Notamacropus eugenii: one gene and its partners. The protein of the gene in region 1 purifies or fractionates together with the protein of each later gene. This does not show direct contact. Links are inferred from orthologs where the notes say so. Each region holds a gene or a part of one and is shown on either strand. Other genes may lie near its edges. The genes, in order: SERBP1, TSR1 and DNM1L.

The links.
Region 2: the proteins of SERBP1 (region 1) and TSR1 purify together in Homo sapiens (affinity purification with mass spectrometry; 3 studies listed by BioGRID and IntAct, with this or other methods). This does not show direct contact. The link is inferred for Notamacropus eugenii from reciprocal best matches to the Homo sapiens genes SERBP1 and TSR1.
Region 3: the proteins of SERBP1 (region 1) and DNM1L purify together in Homo sapiens (affinity purification with mass spectrometry; 3 studies listed by BioGRID and IntAct, with this or other methods). This does not show direct contact. The link is inferred for Notamacropus eugenii from reciprocal best matches to the Homo sapiens genes SERBP1 and DNM1L.

The regions. Positions count from the first base shown.
Region 1 is NC_092873.1:527,949,852-527,959,837, forward strand, and holds the start of SERBP1 (SERPINE1 mRNA-binding protein 1), read right to left. Parts: upstream 4,763-9,986; 5' UTR 4,593-4,762; coding exon 4,229-4,592; intron 3,433-4,228; coding exon 3,282-3,432; intron 3,163-3,281; coding exon 3,019-3,162; intron 2,916-3,018; coding exon 2,820-2,915; intron 2,341-2,819; coding exon 2,221-2,340; intron 1-2,220. UniProt on the Homo sapiens protein: Ribosome-binding protein that promotes ribosome hibernation, a process during which ribosomes are stabilized in an inactive state and preserved from proteasomal degradation.
Region 2 is NC_092873.1:40,320,510-40,330,616, forward strand, and holds the start of TSR1 (pre-rRNA-processing protein TSR1 homolog), read right to left. Parts: upstream 4,039-10,107; 5' UTR 4,002-4,038; coding exon 3,905-4,001; intron 3,733-3,904; coding exon 3,629-3,732; intron 2,786-3,628; coding exon 2,566-2,785; intron 2,433-2,565; coding exon 2,298-2,432; intron 2,065-2,297; coding exon 1,640-2,064; intron 189-1,639; coding exon 23-188; intron 1-22. Other genes in the region: SGSM2 (small G protein signaling modulator 2), read left to right, coding at 6,189-6,245, 9,430-9,505. UniProt on the Homo sapiens protein: Required during maturation of the 40S ribosomal subunit in the nucleolus.
Region 3 is NC_092874.1:214,537,279-214,547,890, reverse strand, and holds the start of DNM1L (dynamin-1-like protein), read left to right. Parts: upstream 1-6,141; 5' UTR 6,142-6,156; coding exon 6,157-6,279; intron 6,280-10,612. UniProt on the Homo sapiens protein: Functions in mitochondrial and peroxisomal division.

The DNA of each region.
Region 1 (9,986 bases):
CACAATCAAACGCCCACATCCTGACAACCTCATTAAAGTCACTGCAGCTCCGAAACAAGGGCTACTGACCACCCTGTTTTGGACTTTCTGGTCTCCTGTGAGAAACGCTCCCCTAACAAATGAATAATTATGCAATTGTGAAGTAGGGTCTGTTTACAGCTCTTCACTCCCAGCGCCCATCAAAGATACTTGTTGAAGTAAACTTAGCACTCACAATAAAAACAAAAGACCAGGTGACTCCTAAGACACTGAGTTCAGTCAAGAAGGCGGCCTACCTCTGAATCCAGTGGAGAGTATTTATTACAGGCTTGCTTGAAATAGAAATTGCTTTGCATTTTAAATCCTCTCTTATGTTCTGCTACACACATTTTTTCGCTTTCTTATTTTGTATTTAAGTTTAAAAGAAAAAAGAAAAATGCCTAAAAGGAATGGATGTCACGGCACAGAGGTGATGCAGAGATCTTGGACAAGTTGCCGGTGGGGAGCCCGCTGCCGACAGGTACTAGGGATGGGCTTCACTGCCAGCGCAGCCTAGGGAGGCCAGCATTTGGCCGTTACCAGGTTGGCTGCGCCAGAGCAGGTTTTTAATCTGCACTGATAGAAGAACCTGCACATCCCTGAAGTATGAGCATAGCCTCTCTCAAGGGACAAGAGAACCCTACCTATACTGAATACAGGTAGAGCCTATTAAAAAACTCCTTGTAAAACCTTTCATTCGGATCACCAATCCTGCAAATTCCCTATACTGTGGATGAAGAACACAAGGCACTGGGGAGATAAAGACACTAACAGCTGAGGCCACCTTTGCTCAAAGCACTCCCATCTATCACAAGAGTGGATCGGTATGTACTCCCCACCATGGACGAAACAAATCCAAGGCAGCTCTGGAGGGGGCGCTAGTAGCAAGGGTGATGAGAAGCAGCTCCCTGCAGAAGTCTATGCCAGTGGGTAAGCAGGCTAGTCAATTCAGCTTGGAATGCCCTACTCCAATTTCTTTAAGCACGAGGTGCATAAGGCAGGACAAATATTAAGAATTTAAGAGTTTAGATCAAGGGAAGATGAAGAGTGAAGCAAACCTAACTCTAGCAAAGGAAACGGAGCACAGCATGAAAAACTTTGTAAGGAGGCTCAGCCCTGGAGGGGAAAGGAGGTGGGCCCCAGGGTAGAGAACAGTGCATATGCTTTCAGATGTAGGGGAGGCAACAGGGGGACAGAAAGTAAGGTATCCCCACTGGAGAAGCAGCCCACACGCCCCCCTCGTCCCTCCACTGTCCTGTGACTAGAGGTTCCCAATTCTGGTGCCCCATCACTTTGGTTAATGCTTTTGCTTCTAAGAGTCTTCTCTTTTTAGTGGCATTAATATTCCTCTAGCAAATGTTTACAATCCTGCTCCACTGGGATAACTGATGACTTGGGACTAGATTTCTGATGGGGGCTATCCACAATCTCTCATGTTTCTGTCTTAAAGGAACGACTGCAAAATTAAAGGCACTTTAGCACAAAAACAGATGAATCCGACTTATCAAACATGTCAATATGGCTCTCCAGGATGCTTCATGTAATAGCCTGACTTTAATCCATTTGATTTTCCAGATGTAATTCTTTTTACCACCTGAACTCTATGTAAGCTAAGAGACTTCACCTTTTAGAACAGATTTTCCTACGGGGATATGAATATTAGTATATGCAAATAGAATCTTTCGTTCTGTCTTAAAACTAGACAGGAAAAAATGACTGTGCATGCTCATGTACTTTCAGGGCTTGCGGGCTGGAGAAGAAGAACTGTTACGAAACACTAGCTAGCTACCTGGCCTCTCAGAATTATGTTCCTGATCTAAAAGGAAATCTGTATCATTCAGACACAAGAATCCAGGGATTTACTGAACACATAAATGGGGTGAAACCCATTTCAGTGTCAAAGGGAAATATAGCGGACCCTTCGTCCCTCGTGGGGGCTGCATTAAAAGACTAAACAGGTGCCACGCGCTACCACAACTTCCCCCAATTCTACCCCGACACATCCATCAGAAAATGTCACCTAGGAGACTCACCAGATCTCCAATTAATTGGTCAACTTTTCCTCTTCTCTTCCTCATGATCACTATTCCACTTTCAATCAAAATGCCTTCTCTGATCAGACCCAACACCACCTCCATTCAGAGTCCCTGTGCTCGGGAGAGGCCGTGGCTTGGGATGGGGGAGAATAAGAGGATAACTCACTTATTTTCTGTGTCAGCCACTGGATGCTCTTCTCCCTCAGGTGTCTCCTCGGTCACAGTGGTTTGCTCCAAGTCACTGCAATTATAAGACATTGGTTTCTGAATGTATTGGGGGCCCCCTCTAAGGAGAGAAAGAGAGACAAGAAAGGCGCCTGGTTCTTTATCCGTTCCCCAGTTGTGCGGCCCCTCTCCCCAAATAAAAACATCAACTATCTCCCCCCACCCCAAAACATTCCCGAGCTTCCAGCAAGAGCATCAAAGCATTCATCCTCGGCAGCGAACAAGACTCAGATACTCCAGCTCAGCTGCTACGGGACCAGAACCGTCCGCGTGTTCGTAAATACCAGGAAAGGAAGGAAAGCTCGGATCATCGAGCATTCCACGACATCCCAATTCCGGATAAACCGTACCTTACTAAGGACAGGACCGACACCGCAAAGGTGCGAGTTCAAATCCTGCCCCATGCACCCGGCTTCCCCTGCGCCTGCCTCAGTTTCCTCCAGCGCCCAACGACCCCCCAGGGTTTCCCGAGGCCCCCCCCCCAGAGCGGCCGCGCGGAGGGGGGCCCCGAGGGGAGGGGGGCCCCGAGGGGACACTCACGTCAGCTCGTCCTTGACCGTGCCCCAGTTGTGCGAGCCGCCGCCGCCGCGCTTGTCCTCGTGCTTCAGCCCGCTGAAATGCGAATGGGAGAAAGAACTGCCCGCCTGAGTTAACACGGCAGTGGCGGGCCGCGGCCGCAGCGCAGCCCAGGGCTCCCGCAGCCCCCCGCAGCCCCCGCACCCACAGCGGCCCCACTTACGATCTGTCGCTCCCGCTGTGCCGGTCGAACTCTCTCTTCCCGCGGGCGTCGAAGCCGTCCCCTCTGCCCAGGCCGCGGCCCCGGCCTCCCCGGCCTCTGCCCCCGGGGCCGCCGCGCCCCCGCACGGGCCGCTCCAGCACGGGCCTGGGGGGCGAGAGCGGCAGCTTGGGGTCGGCCCGCGGGGTCTGCCCCGCTCCCAGCCGCGCCCCCCAGGGGCCGGCCGCCCCCCACCCACCCCACCCCGGCAGGCCCCGCGCACTCACTTGTCCACCGAGAACTCGGCGCCCTCGCCCTTGTCCTCCGCCGCCTTCTCGAAGCGCCGCTCGCGGGGCGGCCGCCGCTCCAGCCTCCGCTCCATCGGCTTGCCCTCGCCCGGCAGCTGCTGGTCCGGCCTGCGGCCGACGCGCCGGATCCCTGCGGGGCAGAGCGCGGAGGTGGGCGGCGGTAGGGAAGCCCGGCCGGGGGTTCCTGACGGGGACGGCCCAGGCGGGCAGAGCGGCCGGCCCCGCACACGGACGGACCGGCCCGGCTTAGGCCCGGCTAACGCGCCCATGCCAGCGCCGGACCCCAACAGCAGCCCCCGGAAAGCCACCCCCAGAGCCGCGCTCTAACAAGCTACAAACGTCCGGCGAGGCCCAGGGACCCGCCCCCTGCCGTCTACACAGGACCCGGGCGCCGTCTACACAGCAGGACGCCCCACAAGCACACGGGACCTGTGGATTCACGATGCCCGCGGGCCAGGAGCGCCCGGCACATCGCGGACACCGAGCCTCCCTGACGGGAGCGCCAAGGCTTTCACTCCGGGATTCGGGGGTGGCCCGCACGCGCCCCCCGTTCTGGGAGTAGGGGGGCCCGGGCGGAGCTGCAGGAAGGGTGGGCACGAGGGCGCCCGGGGCCAAACCCCCGAACGAACAAAGGCTCCCGCCCCCGACACGAACCCCGCAAGCCCCCCGAAGGCGCACCCCCTCCGTCCCCAAGGGGCCGGTTCCGAACCGACCCCGGATAAATGCCCACAGCTACCCCCGGCAAGGCCCGGAGGCCGGTTCGGTTCCGCTCTCCCCGGCGCGCTGGGCCCGGCCCGGCCCCCCGCCCCGCTCGCCACGTGCCGCGGCCTCAGTTTCCCGGCTGGGCCGCACGTGGCTCCCTGCTCCCTCCCCCTCCCGGGCCGCACGTGGGCCCCCCCTCCCCCCCGCGGTTCCCCGGCCCGCACCTTCTTTCTTGAGCGCGGCGGGCGGCGGCGGGGCCTCGTCCTTCTTGTCGGCCGCGGTGGCGGCGGCCGGGCCGGAGGCGGCGGCGCTGGGCGGCGCGGGCGGCGGCAGCGGGTTCTTGCGGTCCTTCTGCGACTCCTTGCGCAGCGGCTTCCCGGGCGCGCCCCCGCCGCCCGCGCCGGCCTGGGCCGCGGCCTGCGCCGCGCTCTTGGGCCCGGGCCCGCCGCCGCCCCCGCCGCCGCCGCCTTCCTTCTTCTTGTTCTCGGCCGCCTTCAGCACCTCGAAGGGGTCCGATTCGTCGTCAAATAGCTGGTCGAACCGGTTGGTGACGACGCAGCCGAAGCCTTCCTGCAGGTGGCCGGGCATGATGGGGCCCCGGCGGCGCGTTCCTCCACGGATTGCAGCGGGCCGCGCCGAGCCGACGGCGCCTGCTTCAGCTCGTCCCCACAAGATGGCCGGGCCGAGAGAGGGACCGCCTTCTCTTCCGGCGCCGCGCACACATCCGGGAGCCGCCGGCGCCGCGGGGCACGCCGGGAAGGGCAGGCGGCCGGCGCCGCTCCGCCCGAGCTTGCGCCAGCACGGACTACAACTCCCAGGGGGCGGCGCGCGCCGGCGGGCGCGAAGCGGCGCGGGGAGGGCGGAGCGCGGCGGGGAGGCGGGGGAGGAGACCCGAGCCCGAGCACCTGCCGCCTCCGGCCCCGCGCCCCCGCCCCCCTGGCGGGCGAGGACGGCCGCACGTGGCGAGCACGGTCAAGGTCACTCCCTCCGGCGTGGGGCCCGCCCACTCCTACTCCTCTTCTCCAGGCCGGGAGACTGAGGCCGCGCGAGGCAGCGCCGGTTTTCCGAGCGTCCCGCGGTGGGCAGGAGGCGGTGTGCATTTATTAGCCGCCCCTGCATGCCGAGAAGGCGGAGAGCGGCCTGCCCTCGGGGGGCTTCAGCCGGCCGGGCCCCCCGCCAGCCCCGCCGGGGGTGCCCCCCCCCCCCTCCCCGCTGTGACCGCCACGGCCAGGCTCCTCCTGCCCCCCTGCCGGGCTGGGTCCGCCCCCCAGCCCCCAAGACGCCCCCCGGAGCGTCCCCGCCTACAGGGGGCCTGGGGAGGGGCGCCTGCCACGCCCCCAACTCCTCCAAGCTCCCCCTGTGTGCGCCCCAAGCGTCGGGGTCTGCTAAGGGGGGGGGGTGCCGCGGCGGCTGGAGAGCCCCTAGGGTCCGCCTTGGGGCGAAGGGCTGGGCCAGGGGCAGCCGTGACCCTTCTGGGGGGGCCTGTCTTCGCTCACTCCTTCACTCACTCCTTCACTCACTCCTTCACTCACTCACTCCTTCACTCATTCATTCACTCACTCATTCACTCCTTCACTCACTCACTCATTCATTCACTCACTCCTTCACTCACTCCTTCACTCATTCATTCACTCACTCATTCACTCCTTCACTCACTCACTCATTCATTCACTCACTCCTTCACTCACTCCTTCACTCATTCATTCACTCACTCATTCACTCCTTCACTCACTCCTTCACTCACTCCTTCACTCACTCACTCCTTCACTCATTCATTCACTCACTCATTCACTCCTTCACTCACTCACTTCTTGACTCATTCATTCACTCACTCATTCACTCACTCATTCCTTCACTCACTCCTTCACTCACTCCTTCACTCATTCACTCACTCACTCCTTCACTCACTCCTTCACTCATTCATTCATTCACTCACTCCTTCACTCATTCATTCATTCACTCCTTCACTCATTCATTCGCTCACTCCTTCGCTCACTCCTTCACTCACTCCTTCACTCACTCCTTCACTCATTCACTCCTTCACTCACTCACTCCTTCACTCATTCATTCACTCACTCATTCACTCCTTCACTCACTCACTCATTCATTCACTCACTCCTTCACTCACTCCTTCACTCATTCATTCACTCACTCATTCACTCCTTCACTCACTCCTTCACTCACTCCTTCACTCACTCACTCCTTCACTCATTCATTCACTCACTCATTCACTCCTTCACTCACTTCTTGACTCATTCATTCACTCACTCATTCACTCACTCATTCCTTCACTCACTCCTTCACTCACTCCTTCACTCATTCACTCACTCACTCCTTCACTCACTCCTTCACTCATTCATTCATTCACTCACTCCTTCACTCATTCATTCACTCACTCCTTCACTCATTCATTCACTCACTCATTCACTCCTTCACTCACTCCTTCACTCATTCACTCCTTCACTCACTCCACTCATTCACTCACTCATTCATTCACTCATTCACTCCTTCACTCCTTCACTCATTCATTCACTCACTCACTCATTCACTCACTCATTCATTCACTCACTCATTCACTCATTCATTCACTCCTTCACTCATTCATTCACTCCTTCACTCATTCATTCACTCACTCATTCACTCCTTCACTCACTCACTCCTTCACTCACTCACTTCTTGACTCATTCATTCACTCACTCATTCACTCACTCATTCACTCACTCATTCCTTCACTCACTCCTTCACTCACTCCTTCACTCATTCACTCACTCACTCCTTCACTCACTCCTTCACTCATTCATTCATTCACTCACTCATTCACTCCTTCACTCACTCCTTCACTCACTCATTCACTCCTTCACTCATTCACTCCTTCACTCACTCACTTCTTGACTCATTCATTCACTCACTCATTCACTCACTCATTCACTCACTCATTCCTTCACTCACTCCTTCACTCACTCCTTCACTCATTCATTCATTCACTCATTCATTCACTCACTCCTTCACTCACTCCTTCACTCACTCCTTCACTCATTCATTCATTCACTCACTCATTCACTCCTTCACTCACTCCTTCACTCACTCATTCACTCCTTCACTCATTCACTCCTTCACTCACTCACTTCTTGACTCATTCATTCACTCACTCATTCACTCACTCATTCACTCACTCATTCCTTCACTCACTCCTTCACTCACTCCTTCACTCATTCATTCATTCACTCATTCATTCACTCACTCCTTCACTCACTCCTTCACTCATTCATTCACTCACTCATTCACTCCTTCACTCACTCCTTCACTCATTCACTCCTTCACTCACTCCACTCATTCACTCACTCATTCATTCACTCATTCACTCCTTCACTCCTTCACTCATTCATTCACTCACTCATTCATTCACTCACTCATTCACTCATTCATTCACTCCTTCACTCATTCATTCACTCACTCATTCACTCCTTCACTCACTCCTTCACTCCTTCACTCACTCCTTCACTCACTCATTCACTCCTTCACTCACTCCACTCATTCACTCACTCATTCATTCACTCATTCACTCCTTCACTCACTCCTTCACTCATTCATTCACTCCTTCACTCATTCATTCACTCCTTCACTCATTCATTCACTCACTCATTCACTCCTTCACTCACTCCTTCACTCCTTCACTCCTTCACTCACTCCTTCACTCACTCATTCACTCCTTCACTCACTCCACTCATTCACTCACTCACTCATTCCTTCACTCACTCACTCATTCACTCCTTCATGCACTCATTCACTCCTTCACTCACTCATTCACTCATTCATTCACTCCTTCACTCACTCACTCATTCATTCACTCACTCATTCACTCACTCACTCATTCCTTCACTCCTTCACTCACTCACTCACTCATTCACTCACTCACTCACTCATTCATTCATTCACTCTCCTGCTGTAGAGACAAGGCATTACCCTAGCCTTGTCATTTTCTAGCTTCCATGAGATCCAAGTATCACCACAGGCCAGGAGAGCAATCCGAGTTCTCCCAGAGAACGCTCCTCCTTGGCTAACCGACCAGTGTTTCTGTTATTTTGTCTTAGCCAGTCAGTTCACAAGCATTTATTAAAAACTTGCAAAGTTAAGTCTGGAGGATACCAAGAAAAAGGGAAAACCTCGTTGCCTGCCCTCCAGGAACTCACATTCTAGTTTAATAAGGAAGACTATGCAAATATATACAGCTGTATGTATACACAGGATCTTTGTGTAGAACATAGGGTGTTCTGTATAGCCATTTCAGGCTTGTCCCCAGCTCCCTTGTCCTTGTCATCTAGCTTTTCTGTGTGCTCTTTCCGCATTACATTGTAAGGTCCTGGAGAACAGGAGCTGACTCGGCTAAGATGCCCATCCTCAGGGCTTAGCACAGAGCTTTCACAAAGTAAGAGAGGCCAGGCAACTCTCAGACTACAAAATCAACAACGATCCAGCCCCCTGCCTCCAACTGTCCCCCAAATGACTGCCAATCTGCCCTCTTCTCTTTTCTCCCATCCAATCATCTCTGCTCCTCTAGATCCTACACCAACGGAAAAGAGACACAGATGGGGGGTACTTTCCCATCCTGGAAACAACTCACAGGAAAAGGCTCTGGGAATTTCCACACTCATTCCCAAAACCTAGAATCTATCCACTCCAAAAAGCACACCAGGTGTGGAGAAAAGGGGGTAGGTGGCACAGACAAGAGAAAAACAAATGCCCATCCTCAGGACATTTACAGTCTACTAGTGGGGGGGGGGGGGGTGTCAACAAATGTCTCTTAAACACCAACAGTGCCAGGGGAGACCCTTCCAACTTTAGAAAAGATCAAGTCTCTGCCTAATAATCAAGTATGCTACTGAACTGCTGTAAAAACCAGACCTGAGATTTTCCTAGGCAGAAGCTCTGTCTACTAATGAGATCATAGTGATAGCAAACATCCTTGTTATCTCATTTCATGTTCACATGAACCCCTACTAACTCTAGAAGTTGTAATTAACCCCACTGTCCCAGAGCTAGGAAGTGTGTGAGGCAGAATCGGAGCACTCATCATCTGGATCCAAGTCCAGTACTTTATTCACTTTGATCAAGCACCCAGCTAGTGCCAGTCAGAGGGTCGACTTGAACCAGGGTCTACTGGAATTGGAGGCTACACTGCTTTTCAGATCCGGTGAAGTCCCTTATTGACCGAGAGGAGCAGTCTTCCTGGAGGAGGTAAGACTGGCAAAGTCAAGGGAGGCCATGCCAGGCACAGAGGACAAGCTGAGAAAAGGCCCAGACTTGGAAAGGAACAAGGCTTATGTCAAGACCCAGAAAATGGACAATTTAACTAGAGTTAATGGGGGGCAAAGGTGACTCACACTGTGTAGTGGAAGGCTCTGTGTTTGTTGTGTATTTTTATTACATATTTATTTGTCTCCTCCATTAGGAAAAAAAGCACCTCTTGAGTAGAGGTAATTTCATTGTTGTCCTCAGATGCCCAGGGAAGCCTAGTTTGCCAGTAGGAGTCTAATGAATGCTTGTTGATTGATTGATGCTAAAGAAAGGCGTCTGAACTCTGCTCTGTTGGCAGTAGGGAGCCCAAAATAATTTTGGCCCAGAGGAGGCAGATGGCCAGATCCACAGGTAAGGAAAGAAATAAATCTGGCAGAAAAGCACACAGAATGTCTTGGAGGAAAAGAGAGTGAATGATAAACTTCAGTGGCCCCCATTGCCTCCAGGACCCAATATAAAACCTTGATTGGCTTTGAGAGTCCTTCCTGACTGACCCTGTCTTACCTTTCCAGTCTTCTTGGGTCTAGCTCCCCACCAGGCCCTCTTCCAACCAGTGACACTGGGCTCCTGGCTGTTCCTGGAAAGATGCTCCGTGCCCCATGGCTGCCCCAACTTCAGGCCTTATCTCTGGCTGTCCTCTGTGCCTGGAATGCCCTCCTGCATCCCAAGGCCTTGCCTAAACCCTAA
Region 2 (10,107 bases), about 490 Mb from region 1:
AAGGACCAAAAGGGGGACCAACCCTTTGCCTCGTTCAACTCCTCCTCAGTGGGCCAGGTTTGTTCCCCCTCCATGGGGTCTGGAACCACTTCTGACTGGAGAGATTCCTGTCGAGCAGGGTCTGCTTTCACTAGGACCTTCAGATCTTCTTCCATCTCAACTGCACCATCAGCATCAGCAACATCAATCTGAGAGGGAAGCAAGCCACAGGTCACTCAGTCAGGTGTTTTCTTACTAAGAGCACAACATGGATGCTATGTACCCCCCATTCCCCCAACTACACATCAGAAGCAGGCTGCTCTGCTCCCCAGCCCCATCCCACTAAGGCTGGCATCCTCCACACTGATTCTGTCTGCCATCTGCTCTCACACTAAAAGCCCACAGTTGATGGCCTGGTAGCAGACTGGACCACCTAGCCCAGTAATAATGACATTCACTTCCCAGGGTCATTACAAAGTAAATAACATATACAAAGTACTTTGCAAGCCTTCAGGGGCCACCTAAATGTTGACTTATTCTACAGGTTCATTTCACAATAGGATTAAGTTTCACCTTGAGCTAAAATTCACCCTTACTAAGGGTGGTTAAGGCTACATTCTTCTAATCGACACCTTCTTTACTAGGGCCAGAGAGAGGTACATGGTTGGTTAACACAACTCAGCTCATTTTAAGGCAGAAACAAAAAAGACCCCCTCCTTTCCTATGCTCGAATCTATCCTACATGTGGCTGCCACACTTTGTTAAAAGTCATTTTTTACTCATGACCCCATGTGAGGTTTTCTTAGCAAAAATATCAGAGAGATTTTTGCCATTTCCTTTTCCAGATCATTTTACAGATGAGGAAACTGAGGCAACTAGGTTTAAGTGACTTGTCCAAGGTCATACAGCCATTAAGTGACTGAGGCTGGATTTGAACTCAAGTTGAGGCTTCCCAACTTCAAGCAGGGTGCTCTGTGCACTATAGTGTCACTTAGCTGCCACAGCGATCTTCCCTAAATGCTGCTTTTCTGCGATAGAGGATTCCAAGAACCTGCTGGTAAATTTTCAATGGCTATTTCCTAAGTAGTCAGGTCTGCCTATTTTCCACCCTCCTCAGCAACCTCCATCACTCTCCAAGACATCCCCCCCACCTCTAGTAGGGCCAATGTCTTTGCTAGCATATGACTATGTGCTGCTCCTCCTTGCACCTGTCCCTTTATCCATTTTATTCCCCTCACCTGGAGAGTTCTTCCCCTTGAGGGAAGGTCTCCCACCTCCCTGGCCTTAGTACAGCCCCAAATCATATTCACCTGCCTGACTCATGCTGAATAGTGATCTGCTAAAGCCTGGAGATTTTTTCAGACCAGCTGTTACCTAACCATGTCTCTCCCACTGATGATTTCATCTCTCAAACCATGACTTAGATAAAGCACAGAGGCATCCCTAGTCTATTTTCAGATGGAACGTAATGGACTAAAAGCATCGATTAAGCACTTACTACGTGCCAATACAGATCTACAGAGTTAGCCATAACTATCATTCTCTTTCCAGTAACAATTAACAAAAAAGAAAAATTTTTAATCAAAAAACAAAAACGAGCTGCCAGCTTCCTTGGAAACCAGCCGATCATCAGCAAGTACAGCCCAGTGATACCACACACCTGCATCACCATGTCCAGGCCTTTGCTGGCCTTGATCACCCTGGGATTTAGAGGAAAAGGGTCTGGGGGTGCGTCAATCTGCTTGATCTGGAAATCACCATGCCCAACGATATGCAGGAGCCGGTTTACGTTGAGAGTCTGCCCACGAACATAGCCTGAAACTTTTAAGGTGCCCACCAAGCTGCTCTCTTGGCTGGGCACAAAGTCAGCAGCATGGGCAAACAAGTAGGAACGCCGGTCTCGGAAGGCCAGATGCCGCTGCTTCTGGTTAGCCAGATGTCGCAGAAGCAGCACTGCATCCTGCTGGGTATCCAACTGGAGCAGTTTGTCTCCTGGAAATCGCTTATCTAAGGCCTTGCTCAGCTTCTTCTTGGCATCTGCTTGTTTCTTTGGGAGAAGGCCCCCAACCCCCTGGAGGGCTAGAGCTGGGCACAAAAACAGACAAGTAGTTATGAGCCATGAAAGCCCACTGCAATTAATGAACCGTTCACTCTGCACTAAACACAGAGCACCAAACCCAGCATAGAGGTGGCAGACAAGGGACGGAGGATAAACCCACAAACTAAGACACTCAATCAGTACTATGTGGGTAACTTGGCCCCTAAGAAGAGGATCCTACCGCTCTCCTAGAGATGGCTGATAATCATAATTCACTTACAATATGTAGGAAGCCCCTGAGCAAAGAGGCAAGAGAGGCAGTAATCGCCTGTGCTGTCCCAGCCCTCCACTGGATCCAGAACAAACAGGATGGTATCAGCCACTTTGGCAAGGTCCAACAGAGTGTGCAGATCGCCTGGATTCACAAGGCATCAACAAGACATCACAAACACTCAGAAAACACTAAGAACACTGGCCAACTAACTATGACAGGGACAGTCCAAGTCAAGCTCAGCCCAACGCTGCTCCTCCCTTGGCCTTTCACCCACCTGGTTTTGCAGATGTAAAGAACCATCGATGCTTCAGCTGAGGACAGAGCAGCATGAAGCTTGGCATTCCAGCTTGCTCCCCCACAGGCACAACCTTCTTGTCTGTGTTCTGGAGCAGCTGCAAAGCCTCACCCAGGGAAACCCTCTCATGCAGGGGCACCAGCAGCACCTGATGAGGTGGTCCATCCTTGCTGCCCAGTTGCCTCTTTTCTGCCAAAACCTGAGGACAGAGAAGAGAGGCGGGTGAGCACTTCACAGGCAGGTCCACCTGCCCTATTTCCCTCATTCTCATACTCAGTATTCCATTCAAATGATCTCTCTACCTTGAGGACCACAGAATTGAGAAACTATCTAACCCAACCTCCAGTCTTAAGGAAACAAAGTCTTATTGAGGGAGGGAGCTTGTTCCGGGTCACAGCAAGGCCAGGATGAAATTGCTGGTTCTCCAACTCTTACATGCAACAACATTATTTGGGGGTACCACACTGTCTCTAAAGGCATCCTGCACCCTGGACCAGGATGCTCTATCTACAGCGAGCGATGGGGCCAGGAGAAGAATGCTGACCAGACCTCTAACTCAAGGCAGGGCCTCCTCATCAACCACTATGGGGCATCTTTGTGTCGGACGCTGGGGGAGAGGCCAGAGACACGAGGACAAAAGTGGACTGTCCCTGTCTGCCAGGAGTTTTTGTTCTCCGTGAGATTTACAGCACGGAGTCAGCACCAGGGAACTAAGGGGGGTGGTCCGGGAAAGGCAGCAGGGGAGAGGAAGCAGTGCCGGGAGGCGAGGGCGGTTCTGAGCAGGGAGTTTCGTGATGACTTATTTCTTGGGAAGATTACTTCGAAAACAGCGTGGAGGAAAGACAGAGAAAGGAGAGGCTCCACAGGGAAAGGTCCAGTAGGATATGGCAGTAACTTAGACAGGAGGGCGGCCTGAACCCACGCGACGGCCACGTGAGAGGGGAGGAAACTGGAGTTTCGGCTAAACTTCGGGAGATGCCGCGGAAGGGAAGGGGGCCGCTGGGGTTGGGGGCAGGCGTTCAGCCCCCACCCCCCGCCTCACCGCCTCCTTCTTCTGCTTCCGGAGCTGGCTGGCCCGGTGCCTCTGGTCCACTCGGCTCAGCTCCTTCCTCCTCCTCTTGCTCAGGGCCTTCACGGCCACGCGACCTGGAAGGCGGCCCCGGGAGGGCAGAGAGCCGACCGTGAGTCCGGGGCCCTGCGGCAGCCGAGGCGGCCGACTACGGCGGAGGCCAGGGCGGAGAAAGGCCTCCTGCGCCCGCAAGGACGGAGAAAGGGCTGAGCTGAGCCCTCCTTCCGCCCGCTCCCGTGACCCCCTCACCTTTGCCGTCCCGCTGCGCCGAACCCCGACCCCGGTGGCGCCCGCTCTTGTGGGCCTTATTCTGCTGTTTGAGCGGGCCGGCGCGATGAACCGCCATATTGCTCCCCACGTGCGTGAACCTACGACTTCCGGTGCTAAGCCCAGGGGTTCCGGTTCCGCCAGCACAGAGGCCTGAGTGGGTGGGGGCTCTGCCAGGGGGCGGAGTTTCGGTGGAGGGGCGGGGCTTTCCCCAGTTTCAAGAGTAGATCACTCCTCAGCCAATGGGAGTATTTGAGACCTACAGCCTATCGCGCTCTAACCTTCCCCCACGTGGTCACCTGCGGACTTGGGGGCTTTAATTGCAAGTTCGGTCAGGCTTCCCCAGAACCCTCCCTCGGCCTCGGAGTTTGCTTCTTGTCTCCTGGTTTACGAGAATACCCTGCTTTAGTTGCGGGGGATGGGAGGGCAGGTTGGCTATTTGCTTGTGACTATGGAGACCCCACCCCCAGGCCCTTCCGAGCTTCTGGCACACAAGGACGGAGCCTCCACTGCTCTGCGTCTGGTCCTGCAGCCCAGAGCTGCTCGTGACTTCTCCAATTCACATCAACCGTTTTTTTCCTTCCTTCCTTTCAGGGCCCTAGTGTCCTTTTCCTTTCTGCAGAACTCCCCGGGGAACTAAAGGATTTGGAATTGGAAGGGCCCTGGGAGGTAATCTCATCACCATTATCATCAAAAATTTATGAGGCGCCCACTGTGTGCCAGGCGCCGTGCTCCGCCCTGAATGCCACAGACAGACAAAAGAACAACCCACCCAATTTTCTAGGTCTCCCAAGTCACTTAACAGAAAAGAAAATGGGCTCAGAGAGGGGAGATGCCTCTCAGCCTAAGTCTTCTCTCCTAACTTCTGGAATTGGGACTAAGCGAATGTTTCAGGCTTAAAGCAAGTCCCTTCACCTCTGCACACACACACACACACACACACACACACACACACACACACACACACACACACACACACACACACACACACACACACACACACACACACACACACACACACACACACACACACACACACACACATCATCCTGTGACTGTCTCTGGCCAAACTAAGCCTAACTCGACTCCAAGACCCAGAGTTTGCAACCCTGCCATCGCTCCCCACACCCCAGCTGCTGCGGATTGTAAACAGGGGGTACCCGCCCTGGAACGAATCCGGAGGCAGAGTCGAGTCAAGCAATATCAATTTATTAAGCATCTTTTACGCACGAGGCACTGTGCTGAGCACGGGGGGTGGGGGTGGGGATTTAAAGAAAAGCAAAAAAAAAAAATAGCCATTGCTCTCCACGAGTTCACTACATGCAAACAATTTGGTACACAAAGATATAGCCAGATATACGTTGGACTTCATCTCTGAGAGAAGGTAGAGGAGCGGAAAGAGCGAGTGAGCGAGAGAGCGAGCAATTCATGTTTATTTCATCACCCAGATTCCCAGCCTCCAGCCTGGGGTGCTTCTCCATCCCTTCGGAAACCCTGCTGGCCTAAGGTTCGCCCAAGTCCCGAGCTGGGGCGGAGGATAGCTCCTTGCAAGCCCTGAAGGACTAATATTACTGCTCTAGACCCTGCCACAGTTACGGGGTTCTCAATCCACGGGGCTCGCCTTGTAGACGCTCCCCTCCAGTTGCCTATGCCCTCGAACTGATCTCTCTGCTCGGCAAGAGAAGCCGTTATACTTGGGTGGCATCCACCTTTTGGGGCCCTCTACTTTTCAGTCGGGTAAAGAGTCTCCCTCCTCTCCCCAAGCCTCCCACTTCCCCACCCAGGGGAATCCTGTTGCATTGTCCCCTCCTTTCTCCCACCATTCCCGGGTCAAAGGAGGTGGATGGGTGGGGGGCCCTCGCAGTGCTCCAGACGCACGCCCTCGGGACTAGGGGTGCGGGGGTGGGCGGGGGGAGTTCGTTGCCATGGCGGCGGCTGCTGGATGGCACGCGGCTCCCAGGCCAGCCCTCCTCGCTTCCCCCGCCCCAGGTAGACGCTGCCTCCCCCTCCCGCCTCCCCAAGCTCCCCCGGCTGTGGGAAGGGGCCGGGCCAGCCTCCTGACGTCTGTCTGTGCCGGGCTCGGAAGATGGCTGCGGAGGGGAACGGCGGGCAGCGGCGGCTGCAGGGTGCCGTGAGCGCGGCGGCAGCGGCGGGCCGGGGCTCCGCCTTGCCGGCGGGCAGCTGAACCGCGGAGAACCGGACCAGGAGCGGGGCCAGTGGCAGCAGCCGGGGCTAGTCGGCGCGGGGCTCCGCTCCCCTGGGCACAATGAGCCGCACCGAGGACGCAATCAAAGAGAAATTACTGTGGAACGTCAAAAAGGAGGTGAGGTTCGCGCCGGGAATGCAAGGAGCCCGGTCCTAGTGGGTGCACCCCAACAAGCCCCAGCATGGTCGGGAGATAGGACTCCAAAAGGTCCAGCCTCGGCGTGGCCCAGTGCTTTAAGGTCCCCTTCTTGCTTTGGAAGGACCCTCTCTGATTTGGGAAGACCCTGTACGAGGGGGAGAGTCTCATCCAGCGTTCCCCGGTGCTTGTTTTCTCCGCGGTCCCTGCAGCTCCCCACCCTATGACGGCAGCAGCAGTTCGGGAGCGGGGAGGGGGGCCAGGGGGGAGAGGTAGTTCCTGTGGAAGAGATTGAAGGAGGGGGATAAGGTTCATTCATTTGAAACCCCGCAGGAGGGAAACGGGGGGGCGGGGCGCGGTTTCTGAATGGATTCCCTTGGGAGCCGGGGCAATTCAGGGCACCCACCCCCAGCTCTGGGGCTCGAGGGTCGTTGAAGTTGGAAGCTTAGCTTCCCGGCTCCCGGGACCTGGGACTTTGCTGCAGAAGGGTTTTCCGCACCCAGACTGTTTCTCCCTCCTCCCACCCCCATAAGCCAAACCACTATCGGGTTCTTGCCTGAGAAACACCCGTGCGATCTTCTACATTTTCAGCCTGTGGGAACCCTTGACTTTCCAAATAGGGATGCCCCCTTCCCCAGTTTCCTTGTACCTTGCCACTCTGGCCTCTTCTATTCCCTGTTGCTTTCAGATGCCATTTCCCCCTTCCATCAGTGTGATTCCCTCCCTTGTTATGGTCTTAGCTGCCCTGCCATGTTCTCTGCCCTTTATGGGGTTCATCTCTGAAAATGTCCAATCGACCCAAGCATTTATTATTATACTCAAGCCAACCAAGCCCCTTTCTCTGCATCCTGATCTTGGGGCCCTGTCTTCCAACCATAGACATCCCAATATCCACACACCCCAACCCTACTTCTGAGCTATTTGAGAGCAAATGTCCCTAGGGAAAAGAGAACCCCTCCCCTCAGAGCCTAGAGGGAAAGGGGGAATTCTTTACTTGGGGCATGCTGGGCTGTGTGGTAGACCAAGGCTTAGATGGTCTCTTAGACCCTGTAAAAGGCTAAATGGAAGTCTGGCAGGATCCAAGAGGCTGGTGTGGTGACCAATTTCAGGACCCAGGGTAGGCTGGTTTCAGGGGTCTTTGGGGGCAGGGATACTGCTTCTTAGCAAAGAATCCTCTTTTCCTTCCTTCAGGAAGGACTGCACTAACCCACTCTTAAACCCAAGGTTGACTGCCTTTCCTTTGTATATCCATTCTCTTACTCCTTTCCACAAAGGTAGGGATGAAGCTTCTGAAATTTGAAGGATGCCTCCTAATTCAACCAGCCAGTCAACAAGTATTTATTAAGGGTTTCCTATGCACCAGACACTCTACTGAGCTCTGTAAGGTACAAAGAAAGGCAAAGACAGTTCTTGCCCTGGAATATTGAACATCCTAATCTCCCCTGTTAGTAGTGAGATTCCTGAATGCACCTGAATGAACATAGCCAGGAAGACATTAAACACACCAGATCCCCAGACAGGCAGACTGATGACCAACTGAATCTTACCCAGGGGAAATAAATAAAACCAGCTCACAAGTAGAAAACAGACTCTGTTCTCAGGGGAGATGGGCCGGATGATGTGGGAAGCAGGACACACTGATAAAAAAGCAAACTAGGACAAAGAGCCTAGCCTAACCGGGTTATATTTGGACAATGCTGAAAATTGGTGAGGTTTGTCAGGTGAGGGGGAGGCCAGGAATCTGAAGATGTCGAGCCAGGCCATCATAGGATCATAGATTTAGAGCTGGAAGTGAACTGAGGGGTCAACCACCTCAACTTTACAGATCAGGAAGCTGAGGCCCAGAAAGGTTAATGACATGCCTGAGGTCACAGCTATTTAATGACAAAGTTGGTTTTTTAACTCAGGTCTTCTTGACTTCCAGTCCAGCACTCTTTCTTTCCACTGTTTCCTTAATGAATGAGACCTAATCAAAATGAGTGGTTTCCAAACAGGAGTAAGGAGGCATGCCTGTAATTTACAAGCCCCAGGAATCAGCAAGGCTTCTCACATTCCCTGGATTAACCCTGAAGTTATTCACATCTCCACCTGTAGGACTTTAGAAGTAATTGATTCTGGGGCAGCTAGGTGGCCAGATAGCTAAAGCACCAGGAGTCAAGAGGACCTGAGTTCAAATTTGACCTCAAACACTTGACACTTTAGTAGCTGTGTGACCCTAGGCAAGTCACTTAACCCTGATTGCCTCAGGAGGAAAAAAAATGAATTGGTTCTGGGAAACTTTACCTTGCTTCTCACTAAGTGGAGCCCCAAGCTAAAAAAAGTCCTCTTGCAGGCAGGACCAGACTTTCTTTAATGTGGAATAATAAATAGGCACCACCATCCCCCCACCCTACCAAAATGGATAGTATCACTCCTGCTGATCTATAACCCTGTCTCCCAGTTAAAATTCAAGCACTCTTAGGAACCAGCTAGAATGTAGGCATTGTTCTTTTTCTAATCTCTGCATGCCCAGTGCTTGACACATAGTGGGCACTTAATAATGCTTGGTGACTGGGCCATTGATAGCTTAGTAAACTAAAAGCATGATCCTCGAAGAAATAAAAGCCCCCTCCCCAGATCCAGGGGAGCCCTGAGTCTGGGAGAGCCAATTGATGGAAGAAGGTAGGCCACAAAAAGTAGCCCTCATATCTGGGTGGATGCCAAGATACCAGGGGTGGAGGTTTTCTACCTGCAAGTAGGCTGGGGTTCTCAAGTCTATAGGAAGCATCTGAGAGGACTCAAGAGTGAACAACCCCTGACCTTGTTGTGAATGCATTACCTTGTGCTAAGTCAGTCTGACCTTCTTAAGGGATAGATTATCTACTGGGGAGACCTCATCCCACCAAGCCTGGGGACCCCACCTCCAGAACCCTTTGTGGCCCAGACACTTCCAGACTAACACCAGCAGGCAGGCATAGTTGCCTCCACTGGACATTAGATTCAGCCTGTCTGGGCCATCAGTTTCACCAACTGCTTCTCTGAGGCTTAGTATACTGAGGGAAATTTGAGGATCATTTCAGGTCTGCCATTTGCCCATTGGAAGATTCCATCAGTGACAAGGAGCCAGGCCCTCTTCCTTGGGACCCCTGGCTAAGAAAGAGTGACAGAGGGATTCCTTTGTTCCTAGGTAAAGCAGATCATGGAGGAAGCCGTCACCAGGAAATTTGTGCATGAAGACAGCAGCCATATCATTGCTCTGTGTGGTGAGTGACAGGGGCTGGTTATGGGAGACAGCAGACCTTTGTGGGCAAGTGGGATGACTCACTGTTTTATCTGTACCCCAGAACCATAGGCGTCATAGGTGCTTAACAAATGCTCATTGATTAGGTGAATGAGTAACTAGTTCAGGGTCAGAGGCCAGATTTGAACCCATGATTGCTCCCCAGGGCTTTCTTTAGGTATCTTTCAGCTTGTTTTTGCTTCAGCAGTGGGTGATTACTTTTTGTGATGCTGTTTCATTCTTTAATTCATTCCCTCATCCCCCACCATTTTTAGTGAATACACACACTTATTAGAGGCTAGGATAGAGACCAAAAGCCTCCTGGGATCAGATGGGTAAAGTCTGAGGTAAACCCAGAGCCTTCCTGCCTCTGTAGCCCTCAAAACTGAAACCTCTAAGCTGAGTTCACTTTCGATTTCCAGGAAATTTGTTCTTCTCAAATCCTTGGGAACAAGGATCAGGAAGCTAGTAAATACATGGTCTTTGGCTGATGGCTGAATGGCCTGGCCCCCATCTTTTGGAGGAAAATTTTTTCCTAGGCTGATCATACAGAGTAGGGCTGATCACAAGGCAAATGTTTGCTGG
Region 3 (10,612 bases), on another chromosome or scaffold:
CTATGTCAGTTATCTGTTTAGGGCAGGAAGCCTACCACTTACTAGTGGTGGGATTTCCGAGACATATGTTTACCCAGCTTGGAATCCCAAGGCCTGACCAACATTACTTTGTTAATTGTCTTGTCTTACTAAATTTATGATTTGTTCAACTAGGAGAGTTCCTTTCTCACGGCAAAATGTATATAAGCCAGAAGATTTCTGCACTGGGTAGCCAGAACATTTCTGGCTCCATAATGCATTATGTTACTGTTTTCTTTAATAGGGAATTGATTAATTAATTAAATCATAAAATGTATGCATTTAGCCATGTTGCCTTTTCTTGGTAAGTTTTCAGGTCAACACCTACAATGTGCTGTTTACAAGAAACACATTTCAAACAGAGGGGTACACCCGGTAAATTTGAAAGGCTGGAGCAGAATATATTCTGCTTCAGCCAAAGTTAAAAAAAAAAAAGCAAAGGCAGCAATTCTGATCTCAGGCAAAACAAAAGCCAAAACAGATCTAATTAAAAGAGATGAGGAATGAAACTATATCCTGTTAAAAGGTATCATAAACAATGAAATAATATCATTACTAAACATATATGCACCAAGTGGTATAGCATCCAAATTGTTAGAGGAGCAGTAAGGAGTTACAGGAAGAAACAGACAAGAAGACCATACTAGTAGGGGACTTCAACCTCCCCCTCTAAGAACTAGATAAATCTCACCACAAAATAAACAAGAAAGAAGTTAAGGAGATGAATAGAATTTTTAAAAAGTTATATATCGTAGACCACTGGAGAAAACTGAATGGAGATAGAAAGGAATATACCTTATTCTCAAAGTTATATATCGTAGACCACTGGAGAAAACTGAATGGGGATAGAAAGGAATATACCTTATCCAGTGTGTACATGGCACACTTACACAAAAATTGACCATGTACTATGGCGTAAAAACTTCACAATCCAATGCAGAAAAGCATAAATATTAAATGTATCCTTTTCAGATCACGATGCAATAAAAATTATATGTAATGAAGGGACATGGATAGATAGACTAAAAGTTGGAAACTAAATAATCTAATCCTAAACAATGAGTGGGTCAAACAACAAATCATAGAAACAACAACTTCATCCAAGAGAATGACATTGAGACAACATACCAAAACTTGTTGGATGTAGTGAAAGTGGTTTTTAGGGGGAAATTTTACATCTCTAAATGTTCACATGAATAAAACAGAGAAAGAGGAGGTCAATGAATTGAGCATACAACTAAAAAAAGCTAGAAAAAGAACAAATTAAAAATCTCCAATTAAATACCAAATTAGAAATTCTGAAAACCAAAGAGGAGATTAATAAAATTGAAATTAAGAAAACTACTGAACTAATAAAACTAAGAGCTGGTTTTATGAAAAAAAAAACACCAATAAAATAGCTAAAACTTTGTTTAATTTGATTTTTAAAAAAGAATAAAACCAAATTATTAGTATCAAACATGAAAAGGGTGAATTCAACACCAATGAAAAGGCAACTAAAACAATAATTAGGAACTATTTTGCCCAACTGTATGCTCATAAATTTGACCATCTCAGTGAAATGGATAAATTTTTACAAACACTTAAATGGCCCAGATTGATGGAAGAGGAAATAAAATGCTTCAATAACCTCATTTCAGAAAAAGAAACTGAACAAACCATCAATGAAAAAGAAAAAATCTCCAGGGCCAGATGGATGTATGTACAAGTGAATTCTACCAAACGTTTGAAGAACAATTAATTCTAATACTATATAGAGTATTTGGGAAAATAGACAAAGAAGGAATACTACCAAATTCTTTTTATGATACAAATACAGTCCTGATACCTCAACTGGGAAGAGTCAAAACAGAGAAAGAAAAATGTAGACCAATTTCCCTAATGAATATAGATGCAAAAGTGTTCAATAAAATATTAGCAAAAAGATTACAGTGACTTACCATGAGAATGGTAAGTACATTATGACCAGGTAGGACTTATTACCAGGAATGCGGGGATGGAGGAGGATGGAGGATATAGCATCATTGCCCAACTGGAACTGATCATTATTACTACTCACAGACTATTGCGCCTCCTTTTTTCTCAGAGGCCCAATGACATCAGGAGGGTGAAGCCTTGACTTGCAAGTGAATTCGATATAAGTGAAACAGGGCTTGCAAAGTTACCAGCCTCGCTCTCTCCTCCCCAGTCACTGGAGTGTAGTGGCAAGACATAGGTCAGGACTTGGACCTAGAGGCGGCAGGTTCCCAGCCCCTGTAAATTTGGCCTCATATTTTAGAGAAAAAATTGAGATTTTTCACCATCCTCTTTCTCATATTATTCAGATGACTTCTGCTTCTATCTTCTTTAACTGTCTCAAATGATAAAGAAGGCTTTTTCCTTACCAAGGCTAACTCCTCTACCTGTTCAAGCAATTCCATTCTATCCTGTCTCCTCCAATATCTTGCTCCCTTTGCTATCCCCCCTCTTATTTATTTTTACCTTTCCCTTTTTACTGGCTCATTTCTTACTGCCTACAAACATGCCCCATGTTTTCCCCTTCTCAAAAAAACCAAACTCATCTGATCCTTCATCCACAGTAACTGTAATCCAGTATTTCTTCTGTCTTTTATAACTAAACTCTTCAAAAAGGCCCTCCACAATAGATGCTTCCATTTTCTCTTCTCTCACTTTCTTCTTAACCTCTTACAATATGGCTTCTGACATCATTCTACTAGCACTTCTCTCTCAAAGGTTACCAGTGATCTCTTAATTGCCTGATCCAATGGCCTTTTTTCAATCCTCCTTCTCCTTGATATCTCTGCAGTTTTTGAGACTGAGGATCACCCTCTCTTCCTTTCTCTAGATTTTTGGAACACTACATTCTTCTGATTTTCCTCCTTCCTATCTGACAGCTTCTTTTCATTCTCCTTTGCTGGATCCTCCTCCAGATCATGTCCTCTATCCATAGGTGTCCCTCAGGGTTCTTATCCTCTCTCCTTTTCTCTTCTCCTATACCACTTCACTTGGAGATCTCATCCGTTCACATGGATTAAATTACCATCTCCATGTTTGATTCTCAAGTCTACCTATTCTGTATCAACCTCTCTTCTCACTTTCTTTCATTTCCCATTGCTTTTTAGACATCTCAAAATGGATGTCCAAGTAGACACTAACTAAACATGTCCAAAACTCATTATTTCCTCTCCACCCCCTTCCCTGTAACTGTAGAGGGCAACACCATCTCTTTGACCCTCAGGCTCACATCCAAAGAGTTAGTAACTTCTATATCTCATATTCTCTATATATCCAAGCTATTGTCAAGGCTTATCAATTTCAGTTCTTCAGCATTTCTCACAGACATTCCTTTCTCTCCTTTGATACTACCATCACTATAGCATAGGCTCTTATCACGTCACACTTGGATAATTCCAATAGACTGCTGGTGGATCTGCCACCAAAGACTTATGACATATAAAAACTTCAAGAGACATAGTTTTGGATAATTATTTTATTAATCATGCCAGCAATAATTGCTCAGGGGCTTTCTTGAATATCATAGACCTCTCATGCAATCCACTCAATGTTTATGCCCTTGGAAGAGTGGGTGTACCTGAGGGTGACTATCAAATCTGATTGGTTAACAATCAATGTGAAGAATGAATATTATAATGAGAGATGGATCTATTCTAATGAGGGGCTGGGACTTGTGACTCTGATCACTCCTTTTTGGACATAGAACCATAGATTAAATTCTTTGTAAGGTTCTTTCGTTGAGTAGGTCAACACTTCCAAGATATCATCTCATCATCAGCCCTTTTCTTCAGAGAACTAAGCTTTGATCTAATCTCCAAATGAAGATGAGAAAAAATCACTGGTCTCCCTAATACTTGGTTATTTAATAATCATTTCTCTCAGACTTGAGGTCTTTCCCTAATCCAATTCATCCATATAGCCATTAAAGTGTTTTCCTAAAGCACTGTTTTGACCATGTCTGTCCCTTCCTCAAGAAACACCAGTGGCTACTGATAGCAGTCAGGATCAAATAAAAAAATGCTTTGCATAACCTACCCATTCCTACCTTTCCAAACTTCTTATGCCATACTCCTTGCCATGTATTCTTTGATCCAGTGATACTGGCCTCCTGGCTCTTCCAAAAATAAGGCACATCTCTTGGCTAAGGGCATTTTCTCCGGCTGTCCTCCATGCCTAGAATGTTTTCCCTCTTCAAAACTGCCTACTGACTTTCCTGGTTTCTTTTAAATCTCAACTAAAATCCCATCTTTTACAGGAAGCCTTTCCTAATTCTCTTAACTCCTAATGCCTTTCCTTTGTTAATTATTTCCCATTTTTCTTTATATATTTGTTTGTATGTTGCGTTCCCTATTAGACTGCAAATTCCCTGAGGGCAAGGATTGTCATTTTCCTCTTTTTGTTCCCTTTTTTAAGTCCTCCAGGACTCAGCCTAGTGTCCGGTATACATTAAGTGCTTAATAAATGATTATTGATTGATTGTAGCTGGCTCCAAATGAGGGACTCAGGAACTCTTTACCTCTCAAAATAATCAGGCTCCCTCCAAAGAAGGAAACATCTATCTCAGGATTGCTGCTTGAATAGCTTTATGCAGGGAATGAGAAACAATTGACAACAGGTAGCCAGGATCTGAGGCTTCAACTCGGGCTAACAATCAGGTAATCAGCCTAAGTCCTGCTATGTGCTGCCATAGGTTCTTGAGGTTGTAGGGGTGTGGAGAAAGTACATCTAGCAGAAGGGGAAAAGAACCTCTCTCCTTTCTCTTCACCAGAATTTCCAGGCACACGTTATAAGAGTACAGGATTATATATTTAGAGTCATATGCCTTCCTGTTCCAGATGAGGAAAATGAGGCTAAAAGAGCTGAAGTGATTAGCACAGCTATGAAGTGGCAGAACTGGGATTAGAACCTATGTCCTGTTTCCAAATTCTGCATATTTTTTTTTCAATTTTCCCATGGTAACAACTGTATAGGACAGACCTAGAGCTGAAATTCCCTCTCCCTGAAACTGACTAGGTTCTTCCTGACTCAATGGTCTTTTTTTTTTTTTTTTGAAAGAAGGACCCTCTGCAGCCCCAAGAAATCAACAAAGTTAATTGGCGTCCTAAAGCTATGAGGTGTCTCAGTTCTGTGCCGAATGGGGGTCTCAGGCAGGAGGCAGAAGAGTCCAAGTCTGCAGCATGATGCTCCAGTGGGGTATGTTTTATCCCGAGAAGTTCAGGGGGCCCTCTCCTTAAAGGAGTAACACAAATATGTATTACATATAAATATATGTGTATATAAACATATGTGTATACACAACACATAAGTCATAATGCATACACACATATGTATATATATATGTATATGTCCTCAACCTCTCAAACAATTTGAAGTAGTCTTTATTAGCAAATTAAAGGTAATGAAATACTGATCAGTTTCCTCGTGCTGAAAACGGATCTCCCAGCTCTTAACCCCAAGAACCTGTAATTCTGATTTGTTACCACAACAGGCAAACTTGTAAAAGCACCCAGAGCAGTTTCTCCCCACCCACCCTTTCTTTCTCCCCGGACTACAATTCCCGTCAGCCTTTGTGACTCTCTTCTGTAGTCCCTGTCCACACCCCTTTTTGGCGCACAGCTTGATGGGAGGGAGTAAGTAAAGGGGCGGACCAAGTCCAATGGGTGCTGGCTCTAGAGGAGGAGGAAGAAGAGGGGGAGGAGGAAAGCGACTAGAAGGTGGAGGTGAACTCCGGGCCCGGCCTCATTCATTGCTTCTGCCCGGCGGGTCAGGGGCCTTGCGTTCCAAGAACCATGGAGGCGCTGATCCCAGTTATCAACAAGCTCCAGGACGTTTTTAACACCGTGGGCGCCGACATCATCCAGCTACCCCAGATCGTCGTAGTTGGAACCCAGGTAATGCTGGGGCCTGGGCTGGCTGGGCCGCTGCACTACAGCAGGCTAGGCCGCCTCTAGGCCTCAGGGCAGGGCCAGGCGGGGCAGGGTGGGGTTGGGTGGAGCTGGGGGGCCCGGCCTTTTGCACCCTGCAGCTACTCTTTCATCCGGTTGTTTGGGCCTCCCTGGGGACTGGGAGGGATCCTGGTAGGCGGAGTCGCCTCGGCTCGGCGCGGCGCCGGTCCGGGGAGCTATGGTGGTGTGGAATGAGCAGGGAAGGTGCCCTGGGGAGGGCCCTCGGTTTCCAAGGGCAACTGAGGGACAAGCGGGGTGCGTGGAAGGGGAAGCCGCCCAGGAGCTCAGGATCGGTGCCCGAGTTTGCTCGGCAGTCTCGGTGCTTGGTTTTCCTTTTCTCACCTCTCGGGCTCACCCTGGGCCGCAAAGCGAATTATGGATCAGAGCAGCAGAATGTGAGAGGGCTTCAGGGTTCATCCGAGCCTTGTGAAGTTTCACCTTCCGGGATTCTTGAAAAGCTTGGCCATTACGCGCACGCGCACGGGGCACCATCCCCCATCCCCACTCCCACGCTGGCGCGCACGCTGTCCCCTACACTGGCCTCACACCATAACACTCCCCCCCATTACCCCCCGCTGTGGTGCTGGCGAGGGTCACCTGGGTTCGCCTCTGCAGGGCGTGGTTTTTACCTTCTCTGATAAAACACTTTACTGCCATAAATGTTCTTCCCACTGTGAGACTGGGCAATCCACGCTGGCCTGCTCACAGAATTGTGGAAGCGAATGCTTTAAAGTATAGGAAGTCATATTCCCTAATGTGCCTTAGTGAATTAGGGAGAGTGGAAAGATGGAAAGGTCTCTGTCTTGTTTTTCCCTAGTACTTTGCTGGAATAAGGGGTGAAGTAGAATCGTATGTTGGTTTTTGTTGTGAACTGAAGACCTGAGAAGCTATCTACATGTTTTCGTTTCCTAATAACAGTTCATGAGAGTATATTTATAGTGCGTTTATTTATGATCTGTATAATATATATGGAAAGAAATAGGTAATTTGTTTTTGAGGGGGAGAGAAGATAAGGAAAGGCTTTATATGGAAGGGGACACGTGAACTTGGAAAACAAAAAGGGCAAACTCATGGAGATTGGAAATGGAGTATTCTGTAGGAGAGACAGTGGTGATAAGACTGAAATAGGTATTCTGGGGCCAGGTTGTGCAGGGCTTTAAGTGCCAAACACAGAAGTTTGTATGTGATCCTGGAAATGATTGGGAGGAGACACTGGAATTTGATATGGGAGGTAGGTTAGATTTGGGCTTGAGGAAAATTATTTTGACAGCCTTGTAGAAGAGGAAACTTAAAGAGTGTGAGCAGTTGGGAGGGGTGGTGTGGGCCCTGACCAGGAGTGGTGACAGTGAGATTAGAGAGGAGGAGACAATGTGAGAATTTTTGGAGATAGTTGGATTTGATACAGAGAAAATACAAAGACAATATTGCTTCAAAATGGTAACTACAGTAACCATTAACCAATTTCCCCCCTCTAATCTGCGAAGGGACTTTTAAACAGCATGTAGACCAAATTGTAGAGTTTGACTGAAAAGGGATCTTAGAGGTTAGTTGTGCAAGTTCCTTCATTTTACTCATAAGGAAACAAGCTCAGAGAGATAAATGACTTGCTAAAGATCATATAATGGTAGAACCATGAATAAGAATCCTTGCCTCCTGGTTTTTAAACACTGTTCTTTCAACCCTATATTATAGAATTAGTGGTCATAATATTCAGTCAATGTGACAGCATGGTGAAGTGCACAGTGAGCCGACTTTGGGATCAAGAAAATCTGATTTCCAAGTCCCTCTTTTGACATATGCTGACTTAACTATATGACCCTGGGCATGTCCTTAACTTTTCTGTGCTACTCTCTAAGTATTCTAACATTTGCAAAGTTATATTGGTGGGAGGGAGTGTCCTCCTTCCCTTTGTAAGGAACTCATGTTCCCTACAAAAATAAAACCCCAGGTTTGGTTAAATACAAAAAAAGTTGAATTTTGCATATATATATAGAGAGAGAGTGAGATACATAATAATTGAGACAGCTAGATGGTGCAGAGGATAGCATGCTGGGCTTGGAATCAGGAAGACTTATCTTTGTAAATTTAAATCTGACCTCAGATCACTTAGTAGATGTGCTGATCCTAGACAAGTTATTCAAACCTGTTTGACTCAGTTTTCTTATTTGTAAAATGAGCTGGAGAAGGAAATGATAAACCACTCACGTATCTTTGTCAAGAAAATACCAAACGGTCATGAAGTCAGAAGTCATTGAACAACAAGAACATGTAATAATTAATGCTTGTATTAATAATTCTGTGAAACTATAAGTTCTTAAAGTACCTTTTGAGATATTAAAGGAATAAGTCATCTTCAGGTTTCAGTAAATTTTATTGTTTACCATTGTTTTCTGAATTTGCGATTTTAAGGACCCTTCCATTTTATAGTCTATATTTAAGAATTTTAATAGTTACATAGTATCATGGGGAACTATTTTGGAACTGTTTCCTGGCTGTAAAAGGCCACTGCGAACCAGAAACTTTCCATCAATTTTAAAGCTCTGTGTATATAGGAGAAATATGAACTTAGCAAGAAGACAAAGAATCAGGCATATAATGTGTCAACATAAATAGTTTAAGAACAAGAAGGATTTATCTTACACTTAATGGAGTTTATTTCTCTCAGTATACTGATGAATATATTCATGAACTAGCCATTAAATTGGGAGGAGCTATGAGAAAAGAGAAAAAAAAACCTTTGTGAAAACCAGTGACTTCTTGAAAAAATCTATAATTGATGCCTCCATTTCTTAGATCATGCATTTAGATCTCTAAGGGTCATGTATTCCAACCATTTCATTTTAGATATGAAACTGAGGGTCAGAGAAGGTTAGTGACTTGCCCAAGGTTACACAGCCATTATTTGTCAGAGGTGAGCCTTAAACCCAGGTCTACTGGACTCTGGAGCCAGCTCTCTCTCCAAATGCTACAGTCTCATAACAGTGATTTATTAGATAATTGATATTAAATACCAATACACTTGATTAAAATTGCCTTGTAGTTATTTACATTAGTACATGAAATATCACATTTATTTTTACATATTTTATGTAGCTGAATTTTTTGGGATTTACTACTCACTTGTAGCTTACATAGTCCCATCCAGAATCATATTTAAATGTTTCCCCATTAATTACTAAATTGCGTCATTTAAGCTCTGATCCCTCACCCCAGCTTAATTGAATATTTTAATAAGCTAGAGAAACCCCCTTCTATAAGTGGTGGCTCATATCTTTATATATGAGAACTCCTGATCTGCTCAGTTAATTACTGGCTACATATAATTTGTTAATGTTGCCAGTCATAACACAGACAGGTAAATATTTACAATGTTTTAGCTGTGAGAGTATCACAGCTAGAATCACTTCAAACCATTTAACTGCAGATGTCTTTGCTTCTAAAAACACAGGCCTTTCTTTAAGGATATCAATTAAAGTCCTTTCTCAAGAATTCTCTCTGCAAGATAGAGAGTTCCATAAATAAAAAGGTCTCTTCATTCTCTTTTCTTTGCCTTCTTACAGTTTCTTTTAGCTTTGAAACTTCTCGTGATGTACTCTCTCAGTTTGTTCATAGCATGACCATTAAACTGTAGGTGTACTTCACTCCATTTCTTGTCAGTCATCACAGTCAACTAATACCAGAGTACAACATACACTTGCCATTATGTCAAGATGCTGTGTCTTTTATAACAGTAACAGTAGTTAGAGCTTTTGTAGAAGAGGCTACAAGAGCTAGAATTACACTGATATTTTTATTCACCTTCATTTCTCTCCCTGCCTTTTAGGATTCCTTTTAATAAAGACTTTAAAAAGGAAGGGGGAAAAGGCATTTAAGGTAAACCCGGGAAAGGAGGTAACATTTTGTTACATTTGTAACATTTTCTGTTGTAAGTTGATCACTCCCACTCCAGCCATATTGTGAAGGATAATATGATTTCATTCTCTTAAAATTTTTTTAATGGCATGACTATTTATATTCATTTTATCAGTTTTAAACTAATTTTGGTATATGGTATAAGTCTGACAAATCCTTTTATTAAGGGAATTTGTTCTGTGAAGTTTGGATTCAGTTAAAGGACTGCACTTGAGGACCTAGAGGGCCACATGTTGCATCAAGGCTGCAGGTTCCTGGCTCCTGGTATAAGAGGTTGATCTAGATCTAGTTTTTGCCAAGCTGCTTTCTAAATTTCTTAGAAATCTTGTCAGAAAAGGGAGTGTCCCCCTCCCTCCGCAAAGTAATTTCTTATTTATTGTGTTTTCCAGACACCTAGCTACAATTTGTTTTAAAAGCGATGTCTTCATTATACTGTAGTCTACTAATGTGCAGTATTATGCCTAAAAAATGTGCATGCTTTGATTTAAAATACTTTAAAATTGCTAAAAAAAAATGCTAATGATCATCTGAGCCTTCACCAAATTGTAATCTTTTTTGCTGGTGAAGGGTCTTGCCTCCTTGTTGGTGGCTGCTGACTGATCAGGTTGGTGGTTGCAAAGGTGGAGGTAGCTGGGGCAATTTCTTAAAATTAGACACCAATGAAGTTTGCTGCCTCTATTGACTCTTCCTTTCACTTGAACATTTAGAGGCCCTTGTAGGTT